2 linked regions of the Mytilus edulis genome follow. The protein of the gene in region 1 purifies or fractionates together with the protein of each later gene. This does not show direct contact. Links are inferred from orthologs where the notes say so. Each region holds a gene or a part of one and is shown on either strand. Other genes may lie near its edges. The genes, in order: synaptojanin-1-like and endophilin-A3-like.

Evidence for each region.
Region 2: the proteins of synaptojanin-1-like (region 1) and endophilin-A3-like purify together in Drosophila melanogaster (affinity purification with western blotting; 3 studies listed by BioGRID). This does not show direct contact. The link is inferred for Mytilus edulis from reciprocal best matches to the Drosophila melanogaster genes Synj and EndoA.

Annotation. Positions count from the first base shown.
Region 1 is NC_092350.1:30,236,097-30,247,384, forward strand, and holds the start of synaptojanin-1-like, read right to left. Parts: upstream 5,671-11,288; 5' UTR 5,642-5,670; coding exon 5,518-5,641; intron 2,916-5,517; coding exon 2,829-2,915; intron 1,501-2,828; coding exon 1,233-1,500; intron 269-1,232; coding exon 43-268; intron 1-42.
Region 2 is NC_092347.1:85,318,250-85,329,983, forward strand, and holds the start of endophilin-A3-like, read left to right. Parts: upstream 1-6,274; 5' UTR 6,275-6,382; coding exon 6,383-6,427; intron 6,428-7,931; coding exon 7,932-8,000; intron 8,001-8,935; coding exon 8,936-9,008; intron 9,009-10,748; coding exon 10,749-10,892; intron 10,893-11,734. Other genes in the region: chromatin assembly factor 1 subunit A-like, read right to left, coding at 63-191, 770-847, 1,337-1,418, 1,883-1,959, 2,159-2,350, 2,610-3,424, 3,721-3,774, 5,983-6,019. UniProt on the Drosophila melanogaster protein: Required presynaptically at the neuromuscular junction. Implicated in synaptic vesicle endocytosis.

The sequences.
Region 1 (11,288 bases):
AAAAATTTTTTTTTTTAAATATTCATCATATTTGAATCTTACTTGTTCTGTTTCCACAAAATTTGCCACATTTCCATCATCATTTGCTCCTCTTACATTAAATCTGGTTCCTGCCCTTTCACAACTTAGACGAGATATGAGACAGGCCTTTGCTTGTCTATTAGAGGCATAAATTGTTCTGATTTCTACACCCCCACATATTACTTTAAACAACCATTTATCACAGTCAACATTAAATCTTTGGAAATGAACATGTAACATACGATTCCTGTAAAGAAAGAAATAAAAGTTAAATATGTTTTAGCTGCATTTAACCTCTACAAAGTACAAAGAACATTTCAATTTTAGACCTTTTTATCACATTTCTATTAGAAGAAATAAGAGTATAAACATAAAAAAAACAATTTCTCAAGTTAATCATGAAGGTGGATGACTCAATAATAAAAATCTATCACTTTTTTTCAAATGCATCAAAAGAAAATTTGAGAAAACCTATAGTTGTTAATTTCTGTGTTATTTTGGTCTCTTGTGGAAAGTTGTCTCATTGGCAATCATGCCACATCTTCTTTTTTTTATATACTTATAGGTTTCATAATGATTAAGAATCAGATATAGCTTGATATCAATTAGAGTTATTCAATTTCAATATACAAATGTAATAATAAACAAGACTTTGGCTTGTTTATTATTTCTATTTAACTTAAATAACTAGAGTTGATATCCAATTTTTACAAGTCGTTAAACCTATTTTTCTTATGGTCAACACTCTCAATGTGTAAAATTCAAAATCTGAGAAATGTTGATCTAGGCTTTTACCATTTAATACAGTATGAGGTCAAATGTCCTTTTACAGTGTCTAACTTTAATATCAGACATTTTAAGACTTTTTGTACGCTTCAGAATGTATTAAAATTTGACAAAAAGAAGATTGTCAGGTGAAATGTGTGAGTGTTTTGTATATTAAGGAATAACCAATGAAAATGTCATAATATTGTCTTGTGATGCTGGATAAAACAATCAAATAAATGCAGATTTTCATATCACTTTTTCATATCACACTCCATGCAGTGTGATACGAGAGATTTCTATTCATGCAAGAGATTGATAACAGGTCACAATCATAAGAGAAAATCATTTCCTATTATATAATTTTTGAGATGTCATCTCATAATATATCAAACCTATATCAGTTTTGACAAGATAATTTCTTTATTTAACGATGTTTAATTTACCAAAAGAATCTGTTATCGGTTTCATGTTCTTGTAATTTTCTTTGAGCACAGAGTGTAAGGTCCCATGGTATACCAGAGTTTGACCATGAAAAGTAAAATGTCCCAGAGTTCATCAGCTTTTTAATTTCCTGTATCCTCTCCTCATCACCTGGATTATTTCGTAAAGACACAAACTGAGTTGTAGTGATTTTGAAAATGTCAGATTCTCCAATTTTACCGACAGATAAACAACCAGTCACTAAAACCAAATATGATACACATTCTTGTCCTGAAAAATAAAACAAATTAATAAATCAGTATTAGTAATCAACATACTGTCGATTCTTTATTTTTTGTGAATATCAGTTTTTCATGGATTAAGAAACAAGATGCTCTCAAGAGCCTGAATCCCTCACCTGTATTTCAGAGGAGAAGATTTTTAAATATTACCAAACTTGATGAACAAATTGTGTAAAATTGTCTTTAAAGGGCAATAACTCCAAGCGGTCAATTGACAATTATGGTCTCATTAACTTTTTTGTAGATTACTTTGCTGAACATTATTGCTGTTTACAGTTTATATCTATCTATAATCATATTCAAGATAATATAAAAAAAATATGCAAAATTTCCTTAAAACGACCAATTTAATGGCAGCAACCCATCAATGGGTTGTTTGATTCATCTGAAAATTTCATGGCTGATAGATCTTGACCAATTGAACAATTTTACCAACTGTCAGATTTTCTCTTAAAGCTTCAGTTTTGGAGATATAAGCCAAAAACTGCATTTGACCCCTATGCTCTATTTTTAGCAATGATGGCCATGTTTGTCATTGGATCAAAACTCCAAAATCAATTTATAAACTAGACACCCTAAGGAACATTTAAAGTTTGAAGGTATTTGGCCCAGTAGTTTTAGAGGTAAAGTTTTTTTAAATAGTTTACGACAACAGAAAACGACGACGGATGCCAAGTGATGGCATAAGCTCACATGGGGCCAGCTAAAAATTGTGTTGTTTGGGGATTTTTGCCAAAATTTGTATACAAGCATTTAGAAAAAATGTGGCGGCAAAGTAATTTAACTTGTATTGTCTCTTACAAAAATCTAAATCTTACCAAAGCAAAATCTCACATTCAAACATGCCTCAATACATGATCTACCTTACAGAAATTGTTTTTGTATTCTTAATCTATAATAATTAATTACTATGGAGTTGGCAGCTATCACTGCATTCATAAGTTTTTGAATCCTAGTCAACAGTTTATGTTTGGATATGAGAAGTAAATTTTATACGACCTTGCAGAAATTCTATATATATCATGTATATTGATGACACATACTTTGGCGTGTCTTGTGAAGGACAACAAAAATACTAGTATCATTATCATCCATGAAGTCTTTCTAAAGTTCTGAGCTGTATATAACTTTGTATATACAATTGTATGTCGACACAGTGTAAACATAGTTGATATAAATTCTTGATTTTGACTTTGCAGATAAAATTTTAGTTCTTTAAACCATTCAACTGTTCTTGACAAGACAGAAATGGTAATTCTATTTAATGCCATCCCCAGTACTAACAGTCTTACATACATGTGTAAACCATTTATTTACCTAGATTGAAGTTTAGAACACCCAAGCATCCATATGCATCCAATATCTTCACATACTGCTTTTTAATGGCTTCTGTTTCAGCAGCAGCTATTTAATAAACAAAGTTTAATGTTAATTTCATCAGTAGTTATAAAACTAATAGAAAACATGATGGTCATCATGGCATGCAACAAAAGTTTTGCTGAAAATTCTCTCTCCATGTCCAGTTGTAATTAAAGTAAAATAACAAAAATATAGAACTCAAGAGAAAAATTCTAAACAAATGGAAAATCAAAAGCTCCAACACAACAAATTAACTGGAAATAACATGTTGCTTCTTCCAATGAAAATGGCAATGGCTAGACGTTAAATAAACAAGATCTACATGTATACACAACACATTTACTCTACTTTACACAACTTTTTATGGTGCTGTGACTGACGGAAAATTGGTTCAACAATGGAAACGAATTTAAAGGCAATACATGCTGGCAAACAGAGCAGCAGTGACGAAGCTCTGGACCAAATTCGAGGATCCAAAGGAAAATCCGGATAATGTTGAAAAGGAGGAATTCAAAGCCATAGAGGATGCTGTAACCCAGAAAAAGAAGATTCTTCATGATTTGAACGAGAAGGTAATAGAAGTCCTACACGAGGATCACATTGAACAAGAATTTACAGACTAGGATGAGTATATGTTTAATTTAGACAGTAAACTTATTTTATATTGATCTACCAAAAATAAGAAACGTGAAATTCTTAAACAGTCGTCACATATTTACAATCCGCTAGGATTTATCATTACATAGCCCTGTATCCGTACAAGCAAATATTTTGATGCAGACATTGTGGGAACAGAAGCAGGAATGTGATGAGCCACTAACATTAGAAATACAGAGTACATGAAAACATTTAGCCAAGGATTGGAGAAAGCAACTTATACAGAATTAAAAAGACCATTCTTTACCAATTTACCAAATCAGAAAAAAAACTTTGTTTTTGTAGACACTAGTACAACTGCATATGGAGCAACTGTTTACATATGTAACCATCATGAGTCATCCTAAGTTATTGCAAATAGAGTAGCACTGCATAAACAATTGACACTACCACAGCTGGAATTAATAGTCACATTGATTGGAGCATGAATAGCTGATCACGTTAAATCAGCTTTACATAGAGAAGACATAACATTTTGGTCAGACAGTCAGATAGTTCTACACTGGTTATCAACTTCAAAGCAATAGACAACTTTCAAATTTGATGCATTTCCGTCAAAAACTTTGGTTTTAGTGAACATCATTAGTGCGTTTAGGGACGTCAGAGCTGAGGTCAGAAATAATGCAGTAGCAACTACAAGAATTCTCGCTTCTTTAGTGATAGCTTTTCTTACATTGCTTAGGGTTATACGATTGCTATCATATTCACTGACCATTCTTTTTCTTGTGTGACCAAACCAAACTCTGTAAAATTTGACAGACCTATATTTCCAGTTTATATAAAACGAATGGTCCAGAAATTCAGGTCTGTCAAATTTACAGAGTTTGATGCCAAAAAATAATTTATACTATCAAAAGTGAAGCATCATGGGGAAAATAGCTATTAAAATGTTTTAAACAAGTAGTATATTATCCACATGGCTTGGATGAGGGTAGGAATCTGGGTCCGTTTGCCCTGATTTTTATTTTTTTTCTAATTGTTGTCTTGTCACATAATTTTAAGTATTTGAACAAAATATGTAAAAGTTTGTTGAAAAATTGACAGAATATTATATTTTCGTAATCAATTTATCATTTTCCCTTTGATTTGCAGAATAGAATACTGGAATAGTTCAATACAATGCATTTATCTTCATTGATATTTGTTAACAAAATAATTGTATTCAATCAATCACTAATGTATGCAGTATAACTGAGACTAGTCTCAGAGTATAATAATAAATGAAATTGTAAATTTGTTTCATAATTGACAGTTCGTACATTGTTGTTTTTATTAATTTCAAGCTGAATATTTTATCTTAACAAAACGTTTGTTTTCAATATAAATCCATCAAAAGTATTTCCATGTTTCCATAAATTTCAAGAATATATACCGTAGATATATCTGAATAAGTTTATTCAACTTCAATGCCCTGAATATTAATTTTTTTCAGAGGGCGAACAAACTCAGGGGGAACAGACCAAGGGCGAACATGTCATAAGGGCTAACGGACCCGATACCCGAGAGTAGTAATGGGGGTACCTTCATGACGTATAACACAAAAAATTCTTGCCAAATAATGTTAACAGTAATTGTGAGTGCATGACGATAAAATATACACTTTCTTTTAGAAAAAAGTGTTTTGATGTCACAAGAAGGCATAAAAGCAAAATAGAATTACAAAGCCTTTCTCCGACTATGCAAGGGCTGCATAGTCAGTCAAGGTGGTTAAAAACTTTCATCATCTACCCTTTCAAGACTGCATAACTTTTTGGACAATTAAAAAAGTATGATTGCAGGAAATCAAAGCACCCTCAGGAAGCTGGAACGTATGTGTTACCTCCTAATCAGCCGTTTCTGTGCCATAAAAAGAGGATAAATTGGCTAAAATTAGGGGAATTTTCAAAGCAGACTAGCAGGACTTGTAAAATAATGAGATTGATTTTATGAAAGTGACAACAGGATATGTTGTTTACTCATTATTACATGTCCTGTTTCAAATATCACGTACATAAAACAGCTAATGCGTTAGATTCAAACATCAAGGTATCCTCATTATTTCTGTTTTCAAGAATGATGCTATATGGGGGAGGCTCTAGCTTATGAAAAACTCGGAAATTTTTAATCATCGCCATCTTCTTATTTTGAGAAGTTGTCTCCCTTATTTCCGTCTGCTATACTTCCGGTTTGAAGATATAAGCTAAAACCCAAAACCTAGACAACACACCCCAACTCCTGTTCGCAGGCGTGCAAAATTGAGTAATTGAGATAATTGTAATGAAAAAGGACCTCTACATACAGATTAAACACACGGTTGACTTTATTCATTTATTAACTTAATAATCGAAATTGTAAAAAAAAAAACCACCTCAAATTACTTTTTGTTTGTTTTAGTTTGGCCTTTTTTTTTTACAATTACTAAAATTAACGTTGACCTTCCTTTCTAATAGACTATATGAATTTTCATCACACTATTTTTTTTTGTCTTTTGTGGTTGTTTAGTTTTTTTGGGAAAAAAGGTACTGGGTTAAATAAAGTAATTATATGATGATTTGAAATTATGAGAATCTCAGGCACGAAAATTTACTGAATTCAATACAAATCTGAAGCTTCCATTTCTAGTTTTTGGCCAAAGAATTTCACATCTTTATTATGCGTATATTGTTTAGGCAAAATCCCGGGTCTTATTAGAGCAAGTATTATAACGAAGTCTGAGGATTTGATATTCCCTGGCTGCAGGCTTGTGCAGAAAATCATCAAACGGCCGGACCAAAATCTATCGCTCGTGACATTTTAAAAATGACTGACCCAGTTAATAAAAAATAAAAATGTTAAAACATTAAAGAAAAGAGAATATCGGGGTCCCAAAATGTAAAGAATCATTGTGGAAAATAAAAGGATTGTGTAATAAACTACTGATAATCAGATTACAGAAACGAACTATGTAGGCAGAAAAAACGAAATCATACATAATTGCAGTAAGGGATAGAACAAGAGAATTTAACAGAAGAAGTCTTTTTTTCAAAGATACAGAAAACTGCCTTAAAACTTTAAAGAAAACACAGAAATCATGACCCTCCCCAAATAATAATAAATAAAATAAAATATGTATGGCGTGAAAAGCGTTACCTGTTCAGACTTAACGTCATACATAGTGACGTGTTCATGCCTGGCGACTATGAAGAGAACGTTGGATACAGGTTGAAGGAAGAATTTCACGTAACTATTTACTACTTCAATAATAAATCATGCTATTGTTTGTGATCATTTGCTATAGAGACTGGGATTGTAAAATTTTTGAGAACGAAAATTTAAGGGAATTGCTTTCCTTCTGTGTGAAAATGTATGCCCAAGGGAGCAAGCGCATAGATAATTATTTACTCTAAAGGGTTCCATACCGTATAGGCCACAATCTAATTAAAAACCGATCTCTCATCGCTCCTGTTTCTGATCTAATTAAAAACCGATCTCTCATCGCTCCTGTTTCTGATATGTACGCGACATATCAGAAACAGGAGCGATGAGAGATCGGTTTTTAATTAGATTGTATAGGCCAAATCAAAATATAAAGTTTCATTTAACGTAATCACATTCTTTAAGTAGTTGAAAAGTTAAATTAAATTTACTTAAAATTCATTGGGACTCTCAACTGTAGACATCAGAAAAATTTCACAAAGAATGTTCCGCGAGGAGAAAGTAATCAAAATTAGGGGGAGAAGATATCAAAGGACAATCGGAAACTGTATCAAAGAGTCAGGATGGGGTTTACAGAATAGAGAATAATGGGCAAAAGTACAGAACAAAGATAGAATACAAATTAAAGAGAAAATGACAAATAATAAATAATGGTGTGCTAAAATATTAACGAATTGAGAATGATAGGCCAAAAATATAAAGAATAGAGACATATGGGCAAAACAAATGAAATTAAAGAATATGAAAATGAAGGACCCCATGCACAACCTCATGATTCGAGAAAGAGAGACAGCAATATGACTTAAAGAAAATAGAAAACATGCTTGACGTTGGTTTCTTTCTACCATATTTGTTTTAAGTTTTTTGCTTTATTCATTGGCTTCTCGTATGAAATATTCAAATCAGTGTTTTCATATGTTTCTAAATGGTATCGGTTTTACTCATTGTTGAAGATTGTATCATGACCTTTAGTTTCTTACATCTACGTCATTTGGTCTCTGATGGATAAAGGTCCTATTGGAAATCATAACATATCTTCTAATTTCTATAATGTTAATTGTCAATCTTAGAATCTAAGACTTCACAGAAATGAATATTTAACACCTAACCATTCTAATAATCAAATGTTCATTCTTGTTTGCTTGTTTTTTTTAACTTGTATTCTTATTACATGGTGGGTTTTTTTTTTTTACAGAGCTGTAGGTTAAAATAACTTACGGTATCGTAATTATTTAAGGTAAGTTTTGATTTCATAGCTTGGTTACTCCATAAGATATATAAACTAAGACCGTTACATACTTGTACATCATATCCGTCTTTGCTGATATCGATTTAAAAAAAAAAGATCGATCTTTAGTCTAATGGTTATGACAAACAATGATCTTCGAAAATCGGACTTACAAAGTGTACCTTCTAATTTCGGTGTAAACGCTGAGATCGATCGCGGTCGATCATTCTGAAAATGATGTCTCATTAATTTTATGTTTATTTACCTTGCCGCTTTTTATTCATACAACATACCATCAAACAGTATAACATCTTAAGTATGAATATACAGACACAAGTGAGATGGTACAGTGATAAAAGGGAGAGGGTCTGTTAAATTTTAATACACGGCTTTTAAGGTCCTTTTTACACGGAAACAAAACAAATATTATCACAAAGGTCTTTCACCCTACCCACCAGAAAAGATTTCCAATAATCGGACTTCGAATAATTAGTCTTTTTATCATGGAGATGAATGCTTACATTTTAAAACCTTTTTTGTTTTACCTTTTTATTATATGTTTTCAAGCTACCAGCGGAAAAATGATTAGATAATTGTGTTTTTATGTAGCAAATTCCAACTTTACTTCTCATTTAGTTTGGTTGCAACTTTGGATAGCTTATGGGCAAAATAAAATAAAAGATTTGATTCTTAATGGAAATTACTTCCAGCTTGGGTTTCTTGTCTGGATGAATGCTGTAACTTAAAAGGGTTTTGCCGGGTCACGTTTTGTGTTGCTCATTTTATTTGTCTGCCATTTTCTGTAAATGTTTACAAGTAATTACAGTGATTTACCAAACAAATCTGTTAAATGAAATACATGTGGATTGAGAAAGAAGATGCTTAAATAACCATGCTTATTTATATAATGGCAAAACAATTTATTGTGATAAGTGTCTTTACCTGTATTATATGATCTCATGTCTCGAGAATATCATTCTGAATTGTATTATTTGTGCACAAACCATTTGTCTCTGCGTTTGAATCGAAGACATATAGAGGCATGCCTATATGTTTTTTTAAATTTTTAAACTAATTTTAAAACGATTCCACTTTTTGAAATTTAATTTTATATTTTCATATATTTTCTAGTAAAGAAGTATGAAACTTATGGCACGAAATCGGATACAGAAGTTGATCCTCCAACCTGAATATTCAGAATTTAAAGACACTCTGCTTGCAGAAGGGGCTTTTATTGAGTTAGACAAATGTGGAGAACCAATCAGACAAGTGTTTCTTGCTATTTCAGAAAATGTTTTCATACTTGCTTCTGAAAACGTCCCAGATTATGTACTATGCCCCTCCGTCAAGTATGACGCAGATGTTGATTTGGATACTGATGGAATGGAATTAGAATGGGTTGTTCCTAATGGATTTCTAGACATCAATACAGATAGCTCACAAAGAATTTTAACCATTGATACACGGACAGGTCGAATAGGCCACTTCTTGCTGTCTGATATCTGGGGCAGTGCGAGGAAAGATTGGGTTATTTGGAAGGAAGCGTTACAAGATATCCAGGATGATCCCTACAGTTACACCAAATGTTTATTCAAAGATTTTCTTATACCCGATAAAGTCTATGATATGTCAGCAGTAAACAGAAAACGAAGTCAATTAAATCATAAAAAGGCTAAGAGCCTGGAAACTCTTACAAATAAAGTGATGACAAAAATGTATGAAATCCAGGACGAAATGGAAAGTAAAAAAAATAAACAGAAATTGAAAAACTCTGCGTCACAATCAAATGATGCATATTTTACAAAAGAAGCCGGAAGTCAAACTTCTTTTAACAACGACAGTGACAAAATACAAAAGAAAATGAAACAGAAGGGGCAATCCTGCAGTGCAATGCTTAAGAGAATGTGTTTCGGAGGAAAAGCAAAACAACGTCCAAAATAAAGATTGACGCTATTGTAAACTTTAGTAAAAAGAAAATGTTTGAAGTATATATTAAATATTAAGTTTATCGATTAGCAATTTCAGAGTATATGTCCATCTACCAAATAGTATATATGTAATAGTCTATTGCGTCTGTAAAATTTGAAAGTTTTTTGTAAAAAAAATCCGTTTAATAGCGGGCATTATTGAATGCTTACAAACGGCATTCCAATAAAAAAAAAAAAGCGGGGCCGTAATAATGTTCCAAAGGCTTACACTATTTCAATCACAAAACGGAGTAATTATGTCACTGCTCAGTAGCGGATCCAGAAATGTTCATAAAAGGAGGGGAAGGGGGCCCGCTCCAGTCATGATTCGCTGACTCCCTATATAGCCCCATTTACTGTTCTTTGACCTACATCAAGTCGCGTTTTATGCATTGGTTATGGGTAACAATATTGACAATTACTTCTTACTAAGGATTTTTTTTATTTTTTTTTTTTTTTTATCTCAGATGAACTTGTATGAACTAAATTTAAAATGTTGGCAAGATTTTTTTATTGTGCCGCGTATTCACAAGTATAGGCACTTGAATTTTAACAGATGTAAACAAGGACATAGACAATTACTTGAAAATTGCAAGATAATGAAATCATTTTGATGCAATTTATACCTACTTCGAACATTGATATCTTGCAAGTAATGCGTCGAGACCAAATATCAAAATCCAAACAAGGAGTTTAAAGTCGTTTAGTTCCGAACTCAAAATTACCCAGAAAAGGACCACAGACCAGCTGACTAATACTTTACGCATTGTCATGGAAGAACTTAGTATTTTACGTCATTTTGTAATTTTGTGACTTTATTTTTTTCGAACAAACTTTTAGTATTTGTCAACACAAAACAGTATAGTATAACCCTATAAACCAGTATTACGAAGTCCACCAGCGATTGCATGAATAATCTATTCATATGAATTGTTGAAAAATTGCAAGACATCGGAATTTTAATTTTAAATAAAAAAATATATATTTAAACGGCATATGTTTAGGTGACAATACCATTTGTTTTTAAAAAGAAACAGCAAAAAACAAACAAGCATTAAAAACCTTCTATGCCTAAACCCGTATCACTATATACACTGATAGCACACATGTCTGTTCACCGAACTCGACATCTTACTCTGGTGAAGAATAAATTGTATAACAAATGATTGATTCTGACTAATATTTTGATATTTCACGACCAGTCTGTCATATTAGTTATTATTGTATAGCAATATAATATTTCCCACAGAACGTAACCAAAAGTTAGCGTGCAATAAATTCTAATATTGCACTAGTGCAATAAATCTTCAAATTCATGACGTCATCAATGTTTAAATCTTAGTTTAAACCGATTTTTACATTCAAATATTATATTGCTATACAATAAAAGGG
Region 2 (11,734 bases), on another chromosome or scaffold:
CTTAGACATACAATAGAGTTTATACTAAACAGGAGTTATATTTTAGTATTCTTATTTGATACCTGGTCAATGAGACATTTATCGAGAAAATTCTTTTGTTCCTCACTAATGTACTGTCTACATTCTGGTGCTAGTTTAGTGTTCTCCTTCACTTGGAATGGCATAAAAAGACCTGAGGGTTCTACAGTTGCCTGAAACAAACACAAAATCATATTGATTAGAAATATGTTTTTTATTTCTTGAACATGTTTGACAAGCAAAAAGACCTGATGGTTCTACAGTTGCCTGAAACAAACACAAAATTATATTGATTTGAAATATGTTTTTTATTTCTTGAACATGTTTGACAAGCAAAAAAACCTGAGGGTTCTACAGTTGCCTGAAACAAACACAAAATTATATTGATTAGAAATATGTTTTTTATTTCTTGAACATGTTTGACAAGCAAAAAAACCTGATGGTTCTACAGTTGCCTGAAACAAACACAAAATCATATTGATTAGAAATATGTTTTTTATTTCTTGAACATGTTTGACAAGCAAAAAGACCTGAGGGTTCTACAATAATACATATACAGTTCATAAAAAAAAAAGTTATTTTACAGTTGCTTGAATAATATCCTCAAAAAAGTGATAACACCCACTTTTTGAGTAGTTGGACATTAAAATAGTATCTAAATCAATGCAACCATACTTTATAATTTAAAATAAACAACACTTTCAAACTAATTTTCAATATGAATAAAACAATAATTTCCTTAGAGGTTTACCTTAGAAGATTTTGGTGAAGTACTAGTCTTGATAAAGAAACTCTGGAATGCATCTTTAACTTTCTTCTCTTTTTTTATCTGAAATGAAGAAAAGGACATTTCTAACTTGTAAACAAATCAAAAACACATATAAATCTAGGTGTCTTCCTATTGTTCTTTTGAGAATAGTATATTTTTAGTTTTGGTCGATAAAAGCTTCAAAATTGACAAATGAAAACTGTCTTTATGGAGCTATGTAGGTTTTTTTTATTATTTGGTCTAATTGTTCTATTCAAATCAGTGAACTTCTGCAAATAGATATATAGCAAATCTGAAATTGGCAAAAATAAACTATGCTGAGAACTGGAAATTTTTAGGTGGACACTTCCGGCAACTGTATTTAGGAAATCGGTCATTTGAAAAATCAAGTAAATTTTACTCTTAACATGAAGATTCTAAACACAACACTGTGATGTCAATTTTGATAGTTCTATTGCAGTTATCCTTTTACGACCTCATTTTCAAACAAAAAACTTGGTATTAAAATAGATGCATTTCATGTATTATTTCATGTTATAGTATTTTTACTTTTTCTTCGTTTTCTTTTTGTTTTTCTTCTTCCTTTAATCTTTTCTCTTCATCTTTCTTCTTTTTTTCTTCATTCTTTGCTCTGAAAATATGACTAATTGATATAAGTTCATTTTCACCCTAACATATGTATCGTTGTAATTAAAGTTTTCATAATATATCTTTTTGTTTTAATGCAATTTTTTTTTGAGTACACGTTCAAATGTCTTGACTGTTTTGATTAAACAATATTTTGCATAAAGTTCTTGAAACTGGTACAACAGAAACTCGACTTTATCAATCATCTATGAAAATAAGGTCTAATTCTAGGACATGTTCATCCTACAAACATACTATACACTCAATATAGTTTACCCATTGCTTAAAGTATCCAAGAAGCAGATTTAACCTGGAAAACTTAACAGGTATTTCCCTTGAACAATGATTGTTTCCCCTTAATTCCAAATTCAAATTTGAACAGTAACCCTTAATTTGTATTGGCTGGCAATTATGGTCACAATTGACTTTTTTGTAAATTCATATTAAATGTTTTAGTTTATATCTTACTCTTGCTCTTCACGCTTCTTTTTCAACTCATCTTCCTTTTGTTGCAGCTTCTCTAATCTTTCTTTTTCTTTTTTCTCCTAAACAAGTGATAAAAATGTCATTAATCATAAAAATCATATTTTAAAACAGAAATGATGTTTGCGAGTCTAAATTGATGCCCAATTAAAAATTATATCATCTCTAAACTGCAAAAAAATAGAGTACTTAACTTTCTATAACATAATAACATGTAAAAAAGAAATGTACTAATATCTTTTAACTTGAAATCATAATCACTTTTTCCTCTTTCTTTTGTTTGTCCTTTTCAGATTTGGCAGCTTCTCTTTCCAGTCTTTGTTTCTCTTTCTCCTTTTCCTTTTCAACTCTCTCCTGTTCTTTTTGTTTCTTTTTTTCTTCAAAGGCCTTTAATTTTTCTTCCTTGAGTTTCTGTCTTTGCGCTTCCCTGTCTTTCATTTTTGCCTCTGAAAGCTGGGATCAACCAAGTTTTCAAATTAAAATGTTGAATATTTTTTAGCAAGAGAAATCATTGAAAACGTTTCCTATAAATACAAGTTTTGTGTACATTTCGATGGATATATAAAATTCATTGGAAATTTTTCTTTTCTTTTGAGTAACAAATGTAGATCTAGTAAACTATCAAAACTTTCTATACTGACAATTTGCAGCATGATCAAATGTACATCTTCTTATTTTTATATGTATTACTGTATAAAGGTTCACATATTACCTTAGATCTTGGTTTTTTGCCGGATTTAGGAGTTCCATCACTTAAACTGTCCCCTGGGCTTTGTGATAAAGGCGTGGTTCCTGACTGTGGACTTATTTTTGTTGAAACTGGAGTTTTAAATACTGCGGAAGGTACACTGCCCTTACCAGGAGTAACTGGGTCAATAGCACTGTTGTTCATATCTGATAAACTAGTTGATTCATCTGAAACATCCATATTTTCTTTGTCTGCAGAAACATCTAAAATTTCCCCTTTTTTTGAGCTTCCCAAGTTTTCCTTATTTTCACATGTTTCTGATGAATTTTCTACAGGAATAAGACCTTTACTGACTGCTTCAATGATTTGAATATAATTTTCTACTTTCTGAGTCTCATTGGTCGAGTTCTCTTCTTTTGATTTGACAGTTTTTGAAGATTCTTTTACACTGAAGAACTCTTTTATTTTTTTTGATTGACAGGTATTTGTGTCAACAAAAGATACATCAGATTCCTTGCCATCATCTGAATCGGTTATATCAATACATTCAATGTTTGTTGACGAGGTAATTTCTTCCTGAGAATTTTTACGTACAAATCTTTCCAATGTATTACGAACCCGTATCTTAACATTATCTGCCTCAGAACTAGAGCTAACTTCTGCTTCACCGCTAGTAATTGGCGCATTACCAGATCCACATGGTGTTCCTGATTTGGGAGTTTTGGGAGCTTTAGCACTAGGTGATTCTGCATCAGATAGTTTTCTTTTCTTTGAAGCAGCAGTTGACTTTGGAGAGACTAGCTGTGCTTTATGCTCAATTGTTTTAAATGGTAATCTAGCTGTAAAAAATACAAATTTAAATGTTACCTTATTAACAAAAAACTTCATTATTTTTTTTAATGTAAAGTCAGCATTCATTAAAATATTACACATGTTACATGTAAGCTCTCAAAAAGATTGGCACAGTGACACAAGTAGGTATATATATTCAGAAAGATTAGCACATATGTAGGTATATATATATTCAGAAAGACTTACAGTAGATGAAGTAAAGAATCGTTGTTGAACACACCTTGTCCTAGTTTTTTCAGACAGACTAATTGTAGATGAAGAAAAGAATGATAATCAAATATACCTTGTCTAAGTTTTTTCGATGGTGTACATCCATCATCATCATCTGCAGAAGGACCTGAAAAGAAAAAGATTTTTTTTATTTCAAAATATATTCAAATTATTACATTGGTTGCAATGATTTACATTGATTTCCCAGTCAAATAAAAACCGATAATTTTACATGTGAAATAAACGTGGTTATTTCACTCTCTGACGTCATACTTTATAAAGCATAAAAATGTCAGTATTCACCTCAGAAACTAACAAAACCTTTAAATAGACTTAAGAAGGGATATAGTTACGATACTGTTGTCAGGTCATTAAAGATTGCATATTTTGGCGTTAATATTGATTCACTTATAGGGTCTTTGTATCGGAACTAAACACATTTATTCAAAAACCAGTTGTTGGCATGACACGGGTTATGTTCTTCTCATATATGTTTTGATGGTACATGTATGACACTAAACCCCTAACGGGAAGGATTTTGTCTGATATTCATATGATGAAATCATAATTTTTCAATCAGTTTAATTGAAGTTTGGAGCTGGTATGTCAGTTAACTGCTAGTAGTCTGTTGTTATTTATGTATTATTGTCATTTTATTTATTTTCTTTGGTTACATCTTCTGACATCAGACTTGGACTTCTCTTGAACTGAATTTTAAATGTGCGTATTTTACTTTTCTACATTGGCTAGAGGTATAGGGGAGGATTGAGATCTCATAAACATGTTTAACCCCGCCGCATTTTTGCGCCTGTCCCAAGTCAGGAGCCTCTGGCCTTTGTAAGTCTTGTATTATTTTAATTTAGTTTCTTGTGTACATTTGGAAATTAGTATGGCGTTCATTATCACTGAACTAGTATATATTTGTTAAGGGGCCAGCTGAAGGACGCCCAGGTGCAGGAATTTCTCGTTGGATTGAAGACCTGTTTTTGACATATTCCCCATTTCCATTCTCAATTTTGTGAGATTGCTGTTCGGGTTGAGCCAAGGCTCTGTCTTGAAGGCTGTACTTTGACCTATAATTATTGACATTAAATACAATGTGACTGCGGATTTTTTTCTTTATAAAATCAGTGGATGTAAAAATTACCCGTTTTCCTTCGATTTCCTTACTTTAAGAATCATCAGTATTGCTGGATCATGGAAGCAATTTTTATGCAAACAATTATTATCTGTATTTAAAGATATTTTGTAAGAAATCAAATTGGTAAGTTAAAAAAACATATAAAGCAAGATCATAGATCGCAAGATTTTTTTTTTTTATCGAGGACCTTGAATTTCAATTTTGTTGTAAGCTGAACAGACATATATAAACTACAACCAGGGACTTTCTATACTAGTATATACTTAGTATAGAAAGTCCCTGCTACAACGAATGGGAATGTTTAACTAAGTACATTTGTAACAAAGGCATTGACCATAATGTTCTAGTATGATCGGGAGATGTTAAAAAAATGATTCAACAGCTGATTCAGCAGGCAACGAATTTCCGATATCATAAAAGAATCACAATACAAAGGGAACTTCCTCTGCTTAATTGAGCCACTAAATAAGTGTGAATAGTTAGGTTTTATTCAAAATTGTCGAAAGCAAAGTTTCATGTGTTCTCATACGAATACTGAATAACTGACGGACAGCCAGACGAAAAAAAAATTAAAAAATACTGAAACGGTTCACTATAGATAAAAAATCCAGACAATGACAGATATATCATGTATCATAACACTCTTAAAACTGTAAGCTTGTGTTTATGATATAAATTCAAGTTCTTCTTGTACATATTGTCAATATTTCATTTTATTACTTTGAAAAAAAAAACGGTGCAGAAAATTCAGGGGAGGCACTGCCTCCCATGCCTCATAGGTAGTTACGGCCCTGTTTGAAGAAAGTGACGTCACAATAGGAAAGTTCAGAAGAAACCAAGAAAATTTAACGTCACAATTAAAATTCAACCAATCATTTGCCGAGAACAGATTTTTCCCTAGTGAGGAGAAATGTTTTTCCCACACCAGTCAGGAAATGTGAAAATAGCCAAATAATTAGAGAAATGAAATTATCAGTCGGCAAGATCAAAGAAAAAATTCGTAAAAATAGCGATAATTTAAGAATATTGTGCTAAGGGCAAAACCATTCTGCATACAAATTTATTTGAGAAGTAGGGAGGATATGCTGTAATATATTTTTATTTACAGTACGTATCACATCAGTTTTTTTTAATGGTAAACAAACTTTATTTTTTTAAATGTTCTTTTTCACCGTAAGAATATTGGTAACTTACCATTGCTAACATTTTGCACACACTCAACTTGTGCCATTGTCTTTTGATTATGATAAATGAAAGAATTTCCTCAAATGTAGAGTGGTTTTCTTAATCTTTTTTTAGAACGGCTAAATGACAATCAAACTTGGCGGGAATGTGTACCCGCTTCAGTCCGCATAGAATATTTTTCAATGAAATTGCAAATTAATAAATTTTATTTCACAGTTCATTATCAAACAACATGAGCTGACTTCAAACTTTATAAAATATTGTTAAAGACAAGGAAAAATTAATGTAAAATTAGTTATGTGGATATTCACTGCGAAGTTCAAGCATCTAACGTCAAGACTTCCGGATGGGAGTAAACATAACTAATTTTAGATTTGTTATTTTTAAGTGAAACAAAACATTACCAAAGATGTCGTTCGCAGGATTAAAAAAACAGTTCAACAAAGCAAATCAGGTATATCTAGAAGTTTATAAACAAAGTCTTACCGACGACTTACAGGATAACAAATGTCAATATTTAAAGAATATTTTCCACCAAAACGATTATACTTATAATTTAAGATAGTATATATTTCGAAATACATCAGTCATTCAGGTTCATTATAACAAATGGACAAAAATGGCTTGTAATACTCTGAGTATAGAAAATCTGTGCAGGTGGAAAAGTTGTAACGTCAACAAATAAAACTACTGTAAAATCAGTTTAAAAGTTAAATGCTTTTTGAGATTTTTGAAAGATAAAATCTTTTTGGATTATGTTTTTATGTGTTGACATGAAGAAAAATTTAGTGACAAGCACATTTTGTATTTACATATCATCTAAACAATAAATTAATAGAAAAGTCAATTAATTACAGCTGATTATTTGCTGTGTAATAAAGTTTCAAATTTTGTTTTATATAATCATGATAATATGAGGCAGGCATTACCTGTAAATGGGGACGAGGTCTGTATGAATTATTTTTTTGAAACATAAATATTTGTCAAAAGAAAAGAAACAGAAATACCGTAACGTTTTGATTTTGGTTCTATTGTTAGGGATTTTAGTTGTGATGTTACTTAAGTTATGACATCATATGCAATGTAAACAAAGAAACGCTATCATCAGGTAATATTTTTTCATATCAAGGAATTATTAAAAATGAAATTGATATTGCGTTTCTTCCTATTATATGAGTTTGAAATAAACATGAAAGTCATATTAAATGGCTTTGCACCTGTCCTAAGTCAGGAATCTGATGTACAGTAGTTGTCGTTTGTTTATGTAATATATACGTGTTTCTCGTTTCTCGTTTTGTTTATATAGATTAGACTGTTGGTTTTCCCGTTTGAATGGTTTTACACTAGTAATTTTGGGGCCCTTTATAGCTTGTTGTTCGGTGTGAGCCAAGGCTCCGTGTTGAAGGCCGTACTTTAACCTATAATGGTTTACTTTTTAAATTGTTATTTGTATGGAGAGTTGTCTCATTGGCACTCACACCACATCTTCCTATATCTATAAAGTGTCATTACATTGAATATGTATATATGTACTGATAAGTGATTGCTTAAGTGTCTGCCAGAATAGTGTTGATTTTGAGATAATGCTCAAGAGGAGCCCGGCACAGTATAGATGAAGAAGAACAGCTTCAAAAGTTAATGCATCATGTCTTTACTTTAGGACAAAACAAGGCTAAGCAGCCGATGACTAATAAAGCATTTCTTTTACTAAAGAATATCTTGGGCTATCAAGCATTAAAATATATTTTCTAAAAAACAGTACATACTTTTTTCAAGTACCACATTACAGGGTATGATTGGAAATAATCCAACATGATTCATAACAAAATTCTTATTTTAATATTTGTTTTCAAACATACTATATTTGGCTGTGTCATAGACCTGGTACAGGTTATCCTTAATATCTTTTTTCAGTCATTTATATTGTTATATTGGAGCTTTTTATGCTTTCTTTGCAGTATATGAGTGAAAAGATAGGTGGTGCTAAAGGTACAGAGCTAGATGATGACTTTATTGAAATGGAAAGAGTGAGTAATTTGTAAATTTATGTGCAATTGTGGTTACTACAGGATTTAACACCTAAATAAAAGTATCAACAATCATTTTACATAGAAAATCATCGCTGTATCACAGTATGTTTACATTTTTAGATCTATTTGGTGCATGCATATTTATTGTTTTTAAACTCAAATTATATAATAAATTATAATAAGCACTGCAGTTTGTATAGGTACATACCTACCAACTTTTTCAAAATGCACATGGTGGTTTTGCGTGCAAGATGGCTGCCATAGTCCTAAAATACCTTCAAGGGGGCTTTCAAATACATTTTAATGTTGTTTTTTGGCTTCGTCATGCTTTTACAAGACTAGAGTCATTGTAAAATTAACTGTTTAAAATTGTGGACAAAATTGCTCTTTCAAAATTTCAATTTGGGAGCCTTCATGGGGGAAATCCCCCGCAAATAGTGACAGTTGGCAGGTATGATAGGTACAAACTCACTTGTTCATCAAAGATTGTAATGACTGTCCTTAAACGCAACGTGGTAGCATGTTTGTCAGTAGTATGGGATGTCTTGGGTAAGATCCTTTCCGGTTGGTCACTTCAAACTGAATACTTTAAAATTTGCTGCTTCGCTGTTATCACACTTAATTAAAAAGACAGGTCAGCTTAAAGACAGATAAATGTGTCTTGGTAGAGGTGACACGTCTTCCTGCCTTACCTTGTGAACTAGAGTGTTATAAAACCAAACTGTGTGTGTCCTTCAAGAACAAAGCAATATCATTCATATCATATCATTCTCATGTTCTTACCCTAAATATGCATTAAGATTGTATCTTGGAGTAAACAGCTATACATCATCATCTGACAGCAGTCTTAAACACATATTTTGCATTAAAAAAAACTTTTTACAACAAAAAAGTAAAAAAATAGCTTTTGATGAATATTTTATTTTCTTAAGAAAACTGATGTCATGGGAAAATGTGTGGATGACTTGATAGGAAAAACAGAAGAATTTTTGCAGCCTAACCCAGGTAAAGTGAATTCATATTGAATATTTTAATATATCAAACAATGTCTAAAGCATTGTCATCAGGTTACTGCATGGGAATTTTTGATTGAACAAAATTGGAAATGAATGTTATCATATCATAAAGGTAATAATGTAACTATGATTTGGTTGATAAATGATGGAGGTGTATACCGGTATGTAAGTTATAAAGGCGTAGTCCAGTAAGGGCCGATTTAGGCCTCAAATTTCAGGTCATCTGACAAAAGATTTTGGACACTTTTTAAACACTTATTTGTCTATATCAGTTGATTCAATTAATTAATGTGAAAGATTTTGACTGATTTAGTCATAAAAACGCTCCGATTCAAGCTTAAATATGAAAAATCTAACAAATATGCCAAAAAACGTCACTTTTCAGATGGTTTTTGTCAAAAATGAAAGTGACGGCATCTGTGTTCATCCTTAACCTTTATATATGTTGTGTATTATTATTAACTACAACTTACATTTCAATATTAGGAATGAATACAAATACCGCCACTTTCATTTAAGACTGAAACTCTTAAATTTTAACTAAAATGCTGAAATTGTAAAGATTTCAGTAATTTAGCATGATTTAATGATGCTATTACCCAATATATGTGCATTGTATTGTCAAAAACAGCCCATACTTATGTAGCAGAAGCATTCTCCTTTCCAATAGATAACTTAAAGTTTACATTTCAACAATTTTGTAAAACTGCTATATTTTGGGGGCAAAAAGGGGTCTTACTGAACCTACTCCTTTTGATTTAAAGTATAACATATACAAAACTGTAGAGGTATCAGATTGGTGTTTTATCAGAATATGATATGGGCCCATGGCCATCATGTCTGTATCAAGTGTAAAATTATTGGAGATTTTATATGAAAACATTTAATTTTACATTAATACGTTGCAAATTAATGTAATTACATGTAAAAGAGGGACGAAAGATACCAAAGGGACAGTCAAACTCATAAATCTAAAACAAACTGACAACGCCATGGCTAAAAATGAAAAAGACAAACAGAAAAACAATAGTACACATGACACAACATAGAAAACTAAAGAATAAAACAACACGAACCCCACCAAAAACTAGGGGTGATCTCAGGTGCTCCGGAAGGATAAGCAGATCACCAGGATATGTTTTTCCTCTGGCAGTCAGTAGGGTTATGCATAAATGATCAGATACTGCTGCTGTTTTAATTGGAAAATAGATATAATGAATCAAAAAGGTCTTAACAATCATTTTAGATAAGGAAGTCTCTGTATCCTTTGATATTGAACAATATAGCTACCTTTCCTGAAAGATATAAGAAGATGTGGTATGAGTGCCAATGAGACAACTCTACATCAAAGTCACAATTAATTAAAGTAAACCAAGGTATAGTCTTCAACACAGAGACTTGTCTCACACCAAACAGCAAGCTATGAAGAGCCCCAAAAAATTTCTAGTGTAAACCATTCAAACAGTAAAACCAACAGTCTTATCCTTTAAAAAAAACGAGAAACACTCATGAACCACATCAACAAACGACAAATTTTGAACATCAGATTCCTGACTTGGGACAGGTGCAAACAACTGTAGAAGGTTTGAACGTTTCAATCGTACCAAACCTTCACCCTTATCTGCAACAAAAGTGTAACATCACAAAAAAGAAAGACTTCACATGCTTTTACTTTATGTATTGTTGTTATACTATCCTATAATAGTATTTGTTTTCTGTATTATTTCAGCCTCCAGAGCAAAATTACGAACAGTTAACACAATATCAAAAATGAGGGGTCAAGCAAAAACAGGCGCCTACCCACAACCAGAGGGTACACTGGGTGAACACATGTGTAAGCATGGGAAAGACTTAGGAGAAGATTCAAATTTTGGTAAGTTCTCTTTTAACTTCTTTAGATTGGGCTGTGATTTCGGTCTGAGACAAACAATTGTAGTTTTTAGTTTTTTAATGTTTTTTTTTTAAATTGATACAAAATTGTTCCAGATACTCTTTATTTAATCAATGATTTTTGCTGTATTAATTCAGAAATTTTAACCCTTTGGTTTTTTGATTGTTTTTCCATTGCAATAAGTAGATCTTTACTTTAAGGTTTTAAATATTTTCAATTTCAACATTTTTATATGCAAAGTGTAAGGCAAAATTTTTCTTAACTTGAATGATCATAATCCAGTGTTCAGATATTGTGAATTTAGTGGTAATTAATGGAAGATGGTATAAACAAATTAGGGTACATTTAATTTTTGTACAGATTAGATTTTTTAGTGGTTGAAGACTATAAACCCTAATTATCACATACAAAAAATAATAATTTTTGGAAGATATGCATTTTCATCATCCAACTTGAAAGACTGCAGCTGTCGTCAAGAACTTTCAGTAAAAAAATAGCTACTCTGTTTTTGTGATTCATTAGATAGGTATTTCACTTGATCCGTATATATTTCATCTTTTAGTACTGTGATTTTTTTATGTTATAAAGTCAAGCTGAAGCTTTGATATATAAAAATGATAGAATCTGAAGCGAGACGATGTATGAAATATTCTTGCTTTGTACGATATCAAGACTAAATATTCAACTCTAACACGCCCTAACATAAAAAGGTGAACTTAATTTTTACCCATTTTTGGGGATTTTTCTTGAGTCACATAATGGAAGGGCAGACACGAAAATTACCGAACTAATAGATTTATATGTTTTCCGTCCGTGGTAATTTT